3 linked regions of the Cricetulus griseus genome follow. The protein of the gene in region 2 purifies or fractionates together with the protein of the main gene of each other region. This does not show direct contact. Links are inferred from orthologs where the notes say so. Each region holds a gene or a part of one and is shown on either strand. Other genes may lie near its edges. The genes, in order: Tank, Tnip2 and Map3k8.

The links.
Region 1: the proteins of Tnip2 (region 2) and Tank purify together in Homo sapiens (affinity purification with mass spectrometry; 3 studies listed by BioGRID and IntAct, with this or other methods). This does not show direct contact. The link is inferred for Cricetulus griseus from reciprocal best matches to the Homo sapiens genes TNIP2 and TANK.
Region 3: the proteins of Tnip2 (region 2) and Map3k8 purify together in Homo sapiens (affinity purification with mass spectrometry; 3 studies listed by BioGRID and IntAct, with this or other methods). This does not show direct contact. The link is inferred for Cricetulus griseus from reciprocal best matches to the Homo sapiens genes TNIP2 and MAP3K8.

The regions. Positions count from the first base shown.
Region 1 is NC_048599.1:113,305,382-113,309,799, reverse strand, and holds the start of Tank (TRAF family member-associated NF-kappa-B activator), read left to right. Parts: upstream 1-1,609; 5' UTR 1,610-1,721; intron 1,722-4,418.
Region 2 is NW_023276807.1:103,497,487-103,501,874, reverse strand, and holds the start of Tnip2 (TNFAIP3-interacting protein 2), read left to right. Parts: upstream 1-1,551; 5' UTR 1,552-1,695; intron 1,696-1,800; exon of another isoform or gene 1,801-1,844; 5' UTR 1,845-1,889; coding exon 1,890-2,168; intron 2,169-4,388. UniProt on the Homo sapiens protein: Inhibits NF-kappa-B activation by blocking the interaction of RIPK1 with its downstream effector NEMO/IKBKG.
Region 3 is NC_048596.1:209,943,237-209,946,825, reverse strand, and holds the end of Map3k8 (mitogen-activated protein kinase kinase kinase 8), read right to left. Parts: intron 2,631-3,589; coding exon 2,478-2,630; intron 1,891-2,477; coding exon 1,644-1,890; intron 758-1,643; coding exon 627-757; downstream 1-626.

The sequences.
Region 1 (4,418 bases), on a different chromosome or scaffold from region 2:
TGCCAAGAGTCTAAATTAGTCTATGGTGTCATAGGCTTTTAATTTCACACACTTACACATTACACATTACTTCTTCAAAAAGTGTTTCCACAGTCTTGGAAGTCTCTCTCAATGTTTCACCTGGTTGAGGCCAATATACTGGGAATAGCCAGTTTCCAGAAGTTTGGGTCTCAGCCAAACCCAATGGCCAAAGTAAATAATAGAGAGAGGGTTACAGGATGGAGACAACAAAAAATTGGAGTATTTCCAAGTCAATATGGAAGCACCACTTTCCCAAAAAAGCTTTTAAAAGCTTGCTTCATAACTGTAAATTCATAAGGAATAAATTTCCTCACACCAATACTATCTTAAGTTTTTGATATTTCACTTTGTTGTATTTACAGTTAGATTCTAGTTTTCCATTGGACAAAAGCATGTTTAACATCTGATATTTCATGAGTAAGATTGTTATAAGGACATAATGTGAAAGAAATGCTTCACTGTGCATTTAATGGGTAAATAGAACAGTTTTAAACACACTCTTAATCGGCACTTTAGAAACTTCAAAAACATATTTTTAGAGGATAATTCCACCATATGCAACATTACATCCAACATGCTTGTAATATGTAATGAGATGGTAGGGCTTTAAAGTAGCAAAGAAACTAGACTACAAATCAGAAAGTGTAAATTTTAGTTTCTATTAACTGGAATTCTGGGGGATGCCTCCACAGACTTCCTAACTCAGCAGGGCAACTTCCCACTAGATCCAGCCTTGTTCCAGCTCCTGGACTTCCCATGGGAGAGCATAATGCAGTAAATATGACATTGCACTTAAATTCAGGTCACTTAGAGCGACTGTTGCTTCTAACTTTGTGACATTGAACATTTACCTCCCCTGTTTACTCATCTGTAAGAAAAGGGAAATGGAACAGAAGCTGTCTAAATTTCCAACTCTAACATTTTATAACAATGAAAAATGTCCAAATACTGCTGCCTTCCGTTTCCTTGTAAAACTAACAGCTTAGTTCCACGTGGCCTGAGAGAAATTCCCCTGGTGTGTTGGAACATATGCTCATCTATGTAACCAGAGACTTATGTCTCAAACTAGAAATTCTGTCTGAAGAGTCTTCTTTGCTTCACCTTTCTTACCACGGTTTATATTCAAACTCTGGAATCTGAAGCCATACCTTATTTTTTCACTAGGTTTCATCCAAGTGACCTCTGTAAGTCAGAAAGCAAAGAAAAATATACTCAGATTATACTCAAATATGAGTTTTGCCTGTTACTTATAAATACAATGGTTTGGGGTCAAATGTGGCTCAAAGACTAAATGGCATTTTCAAATAAGCTGACTTTTAAAACTTTTTACATGGAAAATACTTCTTCCAAAAAAATTCATGTTTGTAGTTTCTAATTTTTTTTAATGCCTTAACTATTCAGGTAAAATATCATTGCTTCAAAAGGAAGCCAGAGTTATAGTCACGGGTGGTTTCAGAATATTTTCTGGTAGTTTTTGCTTCATTTCAATATCTTGCCATGATTGGCTGTTGATAGCTACAAATAAGGAAGTCTTCAAGTCAGGGGATTTTTAGTGGAAGTCCCCAGTTCAACACAAGGGAGAGCTCAGGACAGTTTGGGCAGCATTGCAGAGCCTGTGAAAACAGCTTCCAGAACGTGTACCTGCCTACATCTTTAAAGAAAAGTAGTCTATGAAGGGAGTCGTGTAACCTGGAAACGAGGTAATCAAATCTTCCTAATTCCTATTAATTCTTAGCATAGCAAGGTGGTTGGGATGCCTTCAGTATGGCAAGATCTGTTCCACTCCTGCACCAGCCAGCTAACCAGCTCCAGACACAAGTCAGTGGTGCCTAGGTCATCACTGACACAGTTAGAAATCTGGCCTTCAAAAAAGCCAAGACCCAAGGAAACTTTAAAACACTGTGACTCTTTTTCTTTCCCCCTAACTTTTTTTTTTTTCCTTCGAGACAGGGTTTCTTTGTGTAGCTTTGGAGCCTACCCTGGCACTCGTTCTGGAGACCAGGCTGGCCTCGAACTCACAGAGATCCACCTGTCTCTGCCTCCCGAGTGCTGGGATTAAAGGTGTGTGTCACCAATGCCCAGCCTCCCCCTAACATAGAATTTTTTATGTCTTTAATTGAAATGAATTTAAAAGTTTGTATCTGATATGTAAGTCTTCTCAAGAAGTGATTTTTTTATGCCATAAGACTGAGAGATATTTGACCTAAGTTAGCTTACTAAGGTGGAAGTAAATTAAAAGCATATGTAGTCATACTTTTTGCTTATACTTTTAAAAAATCAATTTCAGCATGACCAAATGTGTCTATTCAAATATTAACTTAACTTACTTTTATTCTCATAAGAAATACATGATGATGAATATTTTATGACATCAATTATTAGCTTTATAAGGAATTCTAATTATAGTAATCAAGTCTTACTTTGTTACCAACAAGCCCTTTATTTTCATTAATATTAAAGATTATATAATATTTTCGTAAGGATAATCCTAGATTAAATATCAAGAACTGTTATCAGTATTGTCATATTGATAGTTTTTAGACAGTAAGTGTCTGCTAGAGGAAAATGATCCAATATTTTCAGTGGTAGTAATTCAGTGACATAGTTAGACAAGACTTAAATATAAACTCACATCAGTTCATTTTCCCTGGCTTTTTACCACCACTGTCCTGCCCTCTCACAATATTCAAACTATGCTTAGGATGTTTTACCCAAGCTGCAGTAGAATGAGGAAAAGAGAAAATGACTTTATCCAAGTTACAGAATGATCATATCATTCCTGGAAACTGTCTCCACTGCCATCTCTTTGGTCTCCCTAGGAGTACAGTTGCATGTGTAAGGATATAGGTAACATACTACTCTGCCTCTGGGGGATGTGGAACTGTATGTGAACTCATTGTGCCTAAATGTGTGCCCAGAAGCCAGCGGGGGTTCTAGAGCTCTTAAACATTTTCAACTATGGCCACCAGGATGACTCAAAACAAATCACTAAAATTCCCCTGGGGAAAAATTCTGGTTGGAATTTTAGAAAATGTGTGCAGTCACATTAAGGGAAATGATTGTCCGTGCAGTAAAAAACCTTCCCCGTCTGTGAACATCCTCTCTTGCTATATATTGAGGCTTTGGTAAACATCTGGGGTCCTTTGCATTACACGTTGTAGATATAAATAGTAGAATGTATTCCAAGCCAGTTTGCTTTGTCTGCTCCTTTATGAACACAGCATGGGAATTATCCCAGTGAGAATGTTCTTTCAGGTGTGTTTTAACTACTGGTAACATCTTGATTTCATAATTTTATCTGGTCATTTATCGATATCTTGTTTTTTCTAAATTACATAACTTACCTGTGATTTCTAGATCAAAAAGAATGCTTGGACATGCTTCTTCCTTTTTGTTTTCTCACCACACCAACTAGATAGAATTGGTGGATCAGGGCTTCGTAACAGAGGAGAAAGTAGTCAACTGTTATATTTCTGATCTCAGGGGAATTTCCCTAGTGGTTAATATGAAAAAACAACAGCAACAACCAAAAAAAAACCCACGACATTGGCTCTTGGCTTGAGGGAAATGCTTTATCATTAAAAATATATCTTGCTTTATTAAGGGTGCACTTAATAAAAAATATAAATGTTAAACAATACTCAGTGTCTTTGGTAACATTAGAGACAACTGTCATATTTTAGCATTTCTAATGAGGCAGTGATCTGCTTTTTTAAAAGACCTAGCAGAAATCAGGGTGCTGCTGTGTTTCTGTGACTGAGCTGATTTATAAATAGAAAACGTATTTTGTTATTTCTCAGATGAAAATAATAAATTGGTTGATCAAACCAAACCAAGCCTACACATTTCCTTTTTCTCTTCAATCCACATGCTTAGACGCCTCTCTTCTATCATTTTGGCTTCACAATTCAGTTCACAGCTCAAACTAACAGAAAAGAATGAAAACAATGTTGTTGTAAGCCAAGGAGCCCTATCCAGGCAGAGCAACCAGATCTATAAACAAAGCAGCTGTTCATATGCTTCCTGCAAACAGCTTTCGAAAGTTACATCCAAAGAGGGTATGCAAAATGTGTGTCCAAATTGATTATCTTGTATCTAGTTTACATTAAGAAAATACATACTGGAAAGCAAATGTTTGTGATTTACTGAGAATTTTCACATTCATATTCATAAGACAAATTCATCTATATTTTCATTTTACAGAACCTATCAGTGATGAGTTTCTACACTAAAGTTTACTTTCAGAAAGTAAAGTGAGAAAAAAATGCCAAAACGCTCCATATTCTAACAAGAGTTTCGTGAACATGGTCTGTTCCTTGAAACGTCTAAGGAATACATCCAAAATATAGACCTTGGCTTTCCTGCTTGCAAGTCATTCTTTACAACCTTTTCCAATG
Region 2 (4,388 bases):
TTACACACATTTTTAAAAGACACCCCCCATGCTAGCAGCTTGAAACATTACATTTGTTACTTTGCAGTTTGTTAGGCGCCTTGGAGCAGTATACCTGGGAAATAAGGTACAGGAACTTCTCTGAGATGGAAGCCAACATATGAGCTGGGCCTGCAATCTCTCAGAGACCTCACCGGGGCCAGATGATTTAGTTCTAAACTGGTTCCTTCACTGAAGTGGACAAACTGGCTGAGTCAATAGACAAAATGTGTCTCATGGCTTTGCTACAGCGGTCTCCCACCACCATTTCCCCCAGCGGCCTCTCAGTTACAGACATCAAGTACTACTACTTTTTGTATGGGGGCTGTATGCATGGATACTGGGAAGAGACCTCCATTTTAGAGGGTGGTTACCTCAGTCATACGTACCTACCTAAAACCAAAGCTTTTGAACTCCAAACACATATGACCCAGAGTGTGTTGGAAGTTTCTGGGTTGTTTGGTGTTTATTTTTGTAGTTCACAATTGGGATCAAAAGCACTTACCCCAGGCTACATATGGCACTAACAGTGAAGACTTAAAAGCACAAATCAGCTCTGGGCTAGGGTTCTTTTGTGTGGTGCCCTCCCCTGCCCCTTCCTCTTTATCCTGCTGCTGCCTCAGTCAGTCAAGATGTACTCTTCATGGCCAATTAAATGTTGTTTTGCTTATTTGTTTTGTTTTTTTGAGACAGGGTTTCTCACATAGATCCACCTGCCTCTGCCTCCTGAGTGCTAAGATTAAAGGCATGTGCTACCACTGCCCTGCTAAAATGCTTTCTCTTTTAAGCTGCCTTGGTGGTGGCATTTTTGTCTCAGCAATAGAAAAGAAACAGACACACCCATTCTCTAGTGCCACAACACCCCTACCACGTAGGGAAGACAGTATCTTTTCTGAACAGGAGTCTTGGCTCTGAGGACTAAAAAGGAGCTGACCATAGGTAAGCCAGGTGTGCCACTCCCAGTGTTCATCCCATAAATACTTGGCAGGGAGGGTCTAGCTTTGCTTATAGTTTGATACTGCAAGTGGGTGAGTTTCTACAGGCTCAGCCAGACCTTGTCTGTGGACCACACCAGGGGAACAGACAGGATGCTGAGCACAGGAGACTGAGCAAAGAAGGAGAAACACATCCTCACATGAAGGGACCCCCATGAGACCTTAGCAAGGCCCTTTGGAAGATCCTCACTGCGGGGGGGTGGGGGTGGGGTGGGGTTGGGGGAGGAAGCACTTCCCAGAGGGAAGACAGCGTTTGTATGGAAGCTGTGGGAAGGAAAGCGATAGTGCCCTCCTGTCTTCTGTTCTAAGAACAGCTTCTAGCACTAAGGCAGTTCTAACTCGAATTTAGGGGTACTCTGGGGTCTGGTGGCTGGCTCTGGGACCCAGCAAGCATTCTGGATGGGAAGTCCTCTCTGAGCTCAGTGTCCCTACGTGACGAAACGCAAGCCAAGTCCCTGGAGAGGAAGGAGCCCAGCCAATGAAACCTTAACTACACCCCACGTCCAATGTTTGAAGTAATTTGATTTATTTGCTTTCCTTCAGCAGCTGTGGCAGAGGAAACCGAACCCCAAACCCTGGTCGCAGACTGGGTCTGACTCCGGGAAAATTTCACAGACGGAGGGAATAGGGTCGCCGCGACTGTAGGCCTAGGATAGCCCCCAGAAGGAAGCCTCAAGACAGGGTAGGACCGATGAGTGGGAGGGGGCGGAGTCAGACTCCGGGCAGTGAGTGAGGCGGAGCCAACTGTGGGTGGGGGCGGATTAGGCTCCGGGGGAGTGGGCGGGGCGAGGCGGGAAAAGTTCCGGGAAGGTCGGTTGTTGCTCCCGCTAGGCGCAGAAGTTCGAGGATCCGGGGTCCCCGAGAAGGTCCACAGCCATGTCGTCTGGGGATGCAAGGACTGGCAGACAGGACGGTGCCCCGCGCGCGGCCGCCGCGCTCTGTAGCCTGTACCACGAGGCCGGCCAGCAGCTGCAGCGCCTGCAAGATCAGCTGGCCGCGCGCGACGCCCTTATCGCGAGCCTCCGCACCCGCCTAGAGGCTCTGGAAGGGGACACGGCGCCGTCGCTCGTGGACGCGCTTCTGGATCAGGTGGAGCGCTTCCGTGAGCAGCTGCGGCGGCAGGAGGAAGGAGCCACCGAGACTCAGCTGCGCCAGGTTCGGAGCGGGCGCTGCTGCCCCGGGAGGCCTCGGGAGCTTGTTGGAGTGTAGCCCGAGTCCGGTCCTGATGGTCGCGCTGATGATATGAGGGTGCGAGGATATGAGGCGTGTGGTGCGGGTCTGAAGAGCGTGAGGTCCAGAGGCATGGGCGTCTAGGGGGAACGCGGGGGTCTGAAGGGAGCAGGGTTGTGAGGGGGCACGAGGTCCTGAGACTCAAAGGGTCTGAAGGGCGCGGGGGTCTGAGACACAGGGAACCCTGAGGGGGGGTCTGAAGGGCGAGAGTATGTGGAGTCCAGGGTCCTGAGCGGTTGGAGATTCATTTAACGCACAGAGGTGAGCAGGTGTCTCTGGGACACAGGTTTCTGGTGAGCACCAGGGTGTTAGGGATGCGGACATTTGAGAAGTACCCGGTCCTCAGGGGCTCAGGTTATGAACAGTTCCGAGGGACATATAATGGAGGTAAGTTTGGGAGAGACCCCCTGGGTCTGTCGACTTTGAGGGGCACTGTTGAGGTAAACTTGCTCATGAAGTTCTGTGTGGCAGATCTGAGGAGCAGGAGGTTATCCTGGAATGCAGGGATCTGTGGAGCTTGAGGTACTGAGGTAGTCTTGAACACATGGTTCTGTTGGTAGTTAGCTTCTCCAATCTGTGCTCCAGACCCCAAAGGGGTGTGTAGCTGTTTTCATCACAGCTCTGTTGCTTTCAAGAGATATCATGACCAAAGCAACTCTTATAAAAGAAAGCATTTCAATGGGAGGGGGTTGATTACAGATTTAGAGGGGTTATTATCATGGTGGGGAGTATGGCTGCTCGAAAGCAGGCATGGTGCTGGAGTAGTAGCTGAGAGCTACATTCTGATCCCTAGGCAGAGAGAGACAATGGGCTTGGTGTGGACTTTTGAAACCTGAAAGCCCAGCCCCAGTGACACAGTTCCTCCAACAAAGCCACACCTCCTAATCCTTCTCAAATAGTGCCATCCCCCCAACTAAGCATTCAAATATATGAGTCCATGGGGGCCGTTCTTATTCACACATCAGGGCACTTGGTTTGAAGGAGATGGAGTTCTGAGCAGGGCTAATGTTCAGGGTTCAGAGGGTGCAGGGTTTAAAGGGACACTATAGGTTCTGAGGCATGGAGCCTAGAGCGTCTCAAGGACATACAGGCATTGCTTTTTGACAATGTGTGTAGGTTCCAGTGTGTATGTGTGTTGAGTTGTGGGAATGCAGGTTTTGTGTATTGTGTTCTGTCTTAGGGAGGTCTTCTGTAGAATGTGGGTTTCTGAACCTTGTTTGGGGCGCCAGGGACCTGGGAGATGCAAGGGTTCAAGGGATGGAGCTCTGAGAGAGAAGACCCATGCCTTTGATTGGTGGCTTTTAGTATTATATTGCAAGAAGTGACAGGAAGAGCCTGTCAAGTATGTGATAATTTGTAAATTCTTTGGTTCTCCTTGTCATTTGGTGTTATTTGGCTTCTGTGAGATACCATAAGCATACAAAACTGAACCAAGGGAAATGTTTTTCTTATAAATGTTATTTGTAAATCAGACACCCTCCCCCCACATTTGGATTCATACTGGCATGTTACTGCATTTGGTCCATAGCTATCCTGGTTTTCCCAGCAAAGAAAGTAAGCCTGCCTGTAAGGAGAATGTTTGTTTCCAAGATTTCACCACCACAGCTAGATTTTTCTTTCTTTCTCCTATTCCTACTCCCTTTGGTGTTAGGGATTGACTTAGAGCCTCACACATTCTAGGCAAGTACTCTACCATTTAGCTGCATCTCCAGTTCTCTTTTTACTTTTTAGTTTGAGACCTGGTCTCACTAAGTTACACAATCTGACCTTAAACTCACTGTGAATCCCAGGAAGGCCTTGACTTTGGATCCTCCTGCCTTAGTCTCCCAAGTAGATGGTATTACAGGACTTTGCCACCAGTTCTGGCCACATCAAAATTTAAGAGGGAAAAAATGCATTTTTTTTTCTGATGGTAAAATTCAGAACATCTGAAAAATAAAGGCAAGAATAAAATAATCCCACATGCTTTTTGCACATGGCTTGCCTGTTTTTCCTTTGCAAAGACATATATTCTTGGTATTGTTGAGTTGACCCTTATTATACAGATTTACTTTCTATTACATTGTCATTGTTTTCTATATGTATTATTTAAAGCACCAAGAGCATCCAGATGTCTTCCACTCCACTTCTCCCTCTTTCTGGAAG
Region 3 (3,589 bases), on a different chromosome or scaffold from region 2:
GTTTTAAGCATAGCATGTACAGTACACAGTGTTTCCATAGGAACATAACAGAAACTGTCACTACTGGCCTGCTGTCAGATGGCTCTGAGTGAATCGGCCATTTGTAAGGCACTAGTCCAGTATATTGCTGTAACATTAAAGTTGTTCTATTCACCCAAAATATAATGAATTAAACTTACACTGGAGTCTACCCACCAGGGCTCAAAGAGTTATAATACACACCAATATATACACAGAACATGTCTTCTGAGTTGAATGAAGCTCCCACACTTAAATAAGAATCAAGAATGTGAGTTTTAGGTTAATATCTTGTGAGGGCTACTTTTAACATGTCTGGCAAAGTGCATAGTGAATAAACTTGTCACCAAAATTGATCCTTCCCTTAGCTCTTCGCTCCCTCCTGTCTAGTCCCACCACCTGAGAAATGAGAACCTTGGGGCCCTAGGACATGCCAGAGTAGCTTCACAAAGGAGGGCATTACAGGGACATTCACGAATCACTAGAGGCCTCACTGCCCCCCTAAAAATGGGTACAATTCACTATCCAGAGATTTCTGTGCAGGGTCTGAAAAACCAACACCCAAGAGAGAAAAGTCCATCCTAGTTTGTTGCCAACAAAGCCATCCATCAGCCATATTCCAGGGTTGGTGGCCCCCGAACAATATTGAAGTAGCCAGCCAGAGCACCGAGGTCTATGTAGAGGGAACGCTGTCTCCGCAGCGCTTCAGACTCCTCCGTGCTACCCGTGCATGAAGAGTCTGCAGAAGGAACATGGAAACAATGAGAAAAACCAATGACAAAAATGACAGGGAGGCCCAGGAAGTAACAACTATATGTCCCTTCTGTGAAGAAATAACCCGGAGGGGCTCAAGAGACAGTAGCCCAGCTCTGGCTGTCACAGATAGCCTTAATGGAATAGCACATAGATCACAGGGTTCCAATGGCCAACTAAGACAAGGAATTGGGTAGAAACTTTGGCATGTTCTTCAGTACCTCATTTTTTCCTACTAGATACTGAGAAAGTAGGCAAGAAAAACAGGCACTCCAGGTTTGACCTCTGAGTTTGTGTTATTATCTGGGCAATCTTCCTATCTTGACCTCCCAAGGGAGTGTGTGTGTGTGTGTGTGTGTGTGTGTGTGTGTGTGTGTGTGTGCGCGCGCGCGCGCGCGCGCGTGCGCACGTGCATGTGTGCACACACATTCGCGCACTGTGTGTGCAATGCAGGTGACAGAACTCAGGCCTTGTGCCATGCCAGGCAAGTGTTCTGTGTCTGAGTTACAACCCCAGCATCTGTTTTCCTTTTTATTTCAAGACAGTCTCACTAAGCTGCCTAGAGTAGCCTTGAACTCACTCTGTAACCCAGGCATGCCTTAATCTTGTGGTCTTCCTGTCTGGACCATCATGCCCACATTTTTCTTTTGAGACAGGGTTTCAAGTAATTGAGGCTGATCTTGAACTTCTAACTGCCCTATCCAAGTGTTGGGACTACAGGAGTGTGCCACCAAGCCTGGCCTTCATCCTTCACCACATCCCCCCCCCCCACAAGTGACCACATTAGAGGTTTCTGTGGACAGGAGGAGGGAAGCCAGTGGCTGCAAAGGCACACAGGCATACACCCACATGCACACAGCAGGGTGGCCTACCAGCAATGTTCTCAGGAAGTTCCAGCTCCTTCCTGCTCAGCAGCCTCTTCCGTTCAAAGAGGGCAGAGTCCAGGCTCTGACATCGTGGCTGGTCCTCTCTAGGGGGATTCAAAGCTTCATGTTTCAGTAGGTCTGCTGCTGTTGGACGGTGGTTGGGGTTCCTCTCCAGGGCGGTTTCTATCAGCTCCCTCATGCCTGGACTGCAGTCACCAGCAATGTCTTCCAGGGGAGGTGCCTGCTTGTGGATCTGTCAACAAACCAGTTCTGTCAGCATGGATGGCATAGAGACAGATGCTCAGACAGTGGGGAGTGACCTACACCCCACCGCATGACCCCTTCAACTTCCTAGCAGCGGTTAAACCAAGTTTGGTTTAATGGCAAAAGGTACATGCTGTGTTTGAATTAGCAGTGACAGCTTCTCATGGGGGCACCAGAGATGGCTGCAACAGGGAAACGGCTGCCTCTGTCTTGTTCTCACACTCTACTCTAGGACATGCCATTGGGCAGAAGGAAGGAGGTTTGGGGGCAACAGAGAGTAATAACATATTTTCTTTTTTAAAAAAGGCATCTTAAAGAACTCATATACTTTCCTTGGCTGACAGAGTTGTAGGACTCTGATGCTTCTAAGTGTGTTTGACCACACGTAAGTATAATGGGATAGCATACAAATTATATCTACTCATTTCAGTCAGCTTCCATTAAAATAGACTTTCATTTTAATAATGGAATTGCAACCACCTCTGTGGGTCTCCATTCTACCATCATCTCCTCTCTTTGGTGTGCTTTTGGGATGGTGGGACTCACTGCACCCCAGCCCAGCTGACCCTCACTTACTATGTACAGGTAGGAGGGATAGGCCGATCGAGGGTAGCGCTTCACCCAGGGTGGGGTGCCTGTCTGCATGTGGATGAGAGTAGCTCCAAGGCTGTAGATGTCCGCTTTTGTGGAATGGCCCCTGCACAGAATCACCTCGGGGCTCATGTATATCTGAAAAAAAAAAAGACAAGGAAAGCATCATTTGTCTGGCTTCCTTTTCCCTAGCCGGTTCTAGAAGCTGGCTCCTTTGCCTTCATGACATTTGCTGCATGCTCTAGAGGGAATGCTACTGCAATATCCCTCAAGCCAAGGAGAATCCTAAGATGTTCTCTAGAACACCTCTTTCCCACCCAGCAGGTCTGACCTCAAAGGGCTTGAACTGATTTCCACTGATCTGAGTTCTGTAGATGTTCATCAGTTATATACAACTGTCTATTAAATCACCAATTCTGCTCAGACTTAAATGAGACTACACATATACTTCTCCCATTTATCACTTAATTGCCTAAAGGTGGCAGAATCCTGCAGGGTATTTACGTCAATGGTTTAGAAGGGAAGAGCCTGCAAAAATAAAGCATAAAGTTGGGGAAATGACTTTAATGAGTCATTTATACCTGACAAGTATCCCAGTGACTAACCATCAAAGTCCTCTACAACAGAGTATAAGTTCTGAGGCTGAAGCAAGAGTATTGCCAAAGCTCAAGGATAGCCTGGGCTACAGACTGACTGAGAACTTGTCTGAAAAAATAATAAATTAACAAAAAATACAGCATAATTTGCATTTGATTTCATAAGTCGATGTTGAGTAAGTAAGGTGATTTTCTAAACTTTATTTTTCTAAATTTAAGATGGGAGAGGAAAAAAGAAAGCCCCGGCTACCAATAATCTGTAGTCAGGGCTGGCACAGACATACGGTGTTAGTATCCTAGTTAACAACACAGGCTGAATAGCTCTAATTTAAGGGTACAAAGGACTCCAAAACTGGAAGCTTTTGAGCAGGATGATGCCACAAGTGGAAATTTCCACATATGACCTCATGTGACAGGCCACATTTAAAACACAGCCACACTGAGAATACCCTGCTAGCTGTCTTTCAGGCTAATGAACCCTCTGTTTATGCTTCAGTCCCA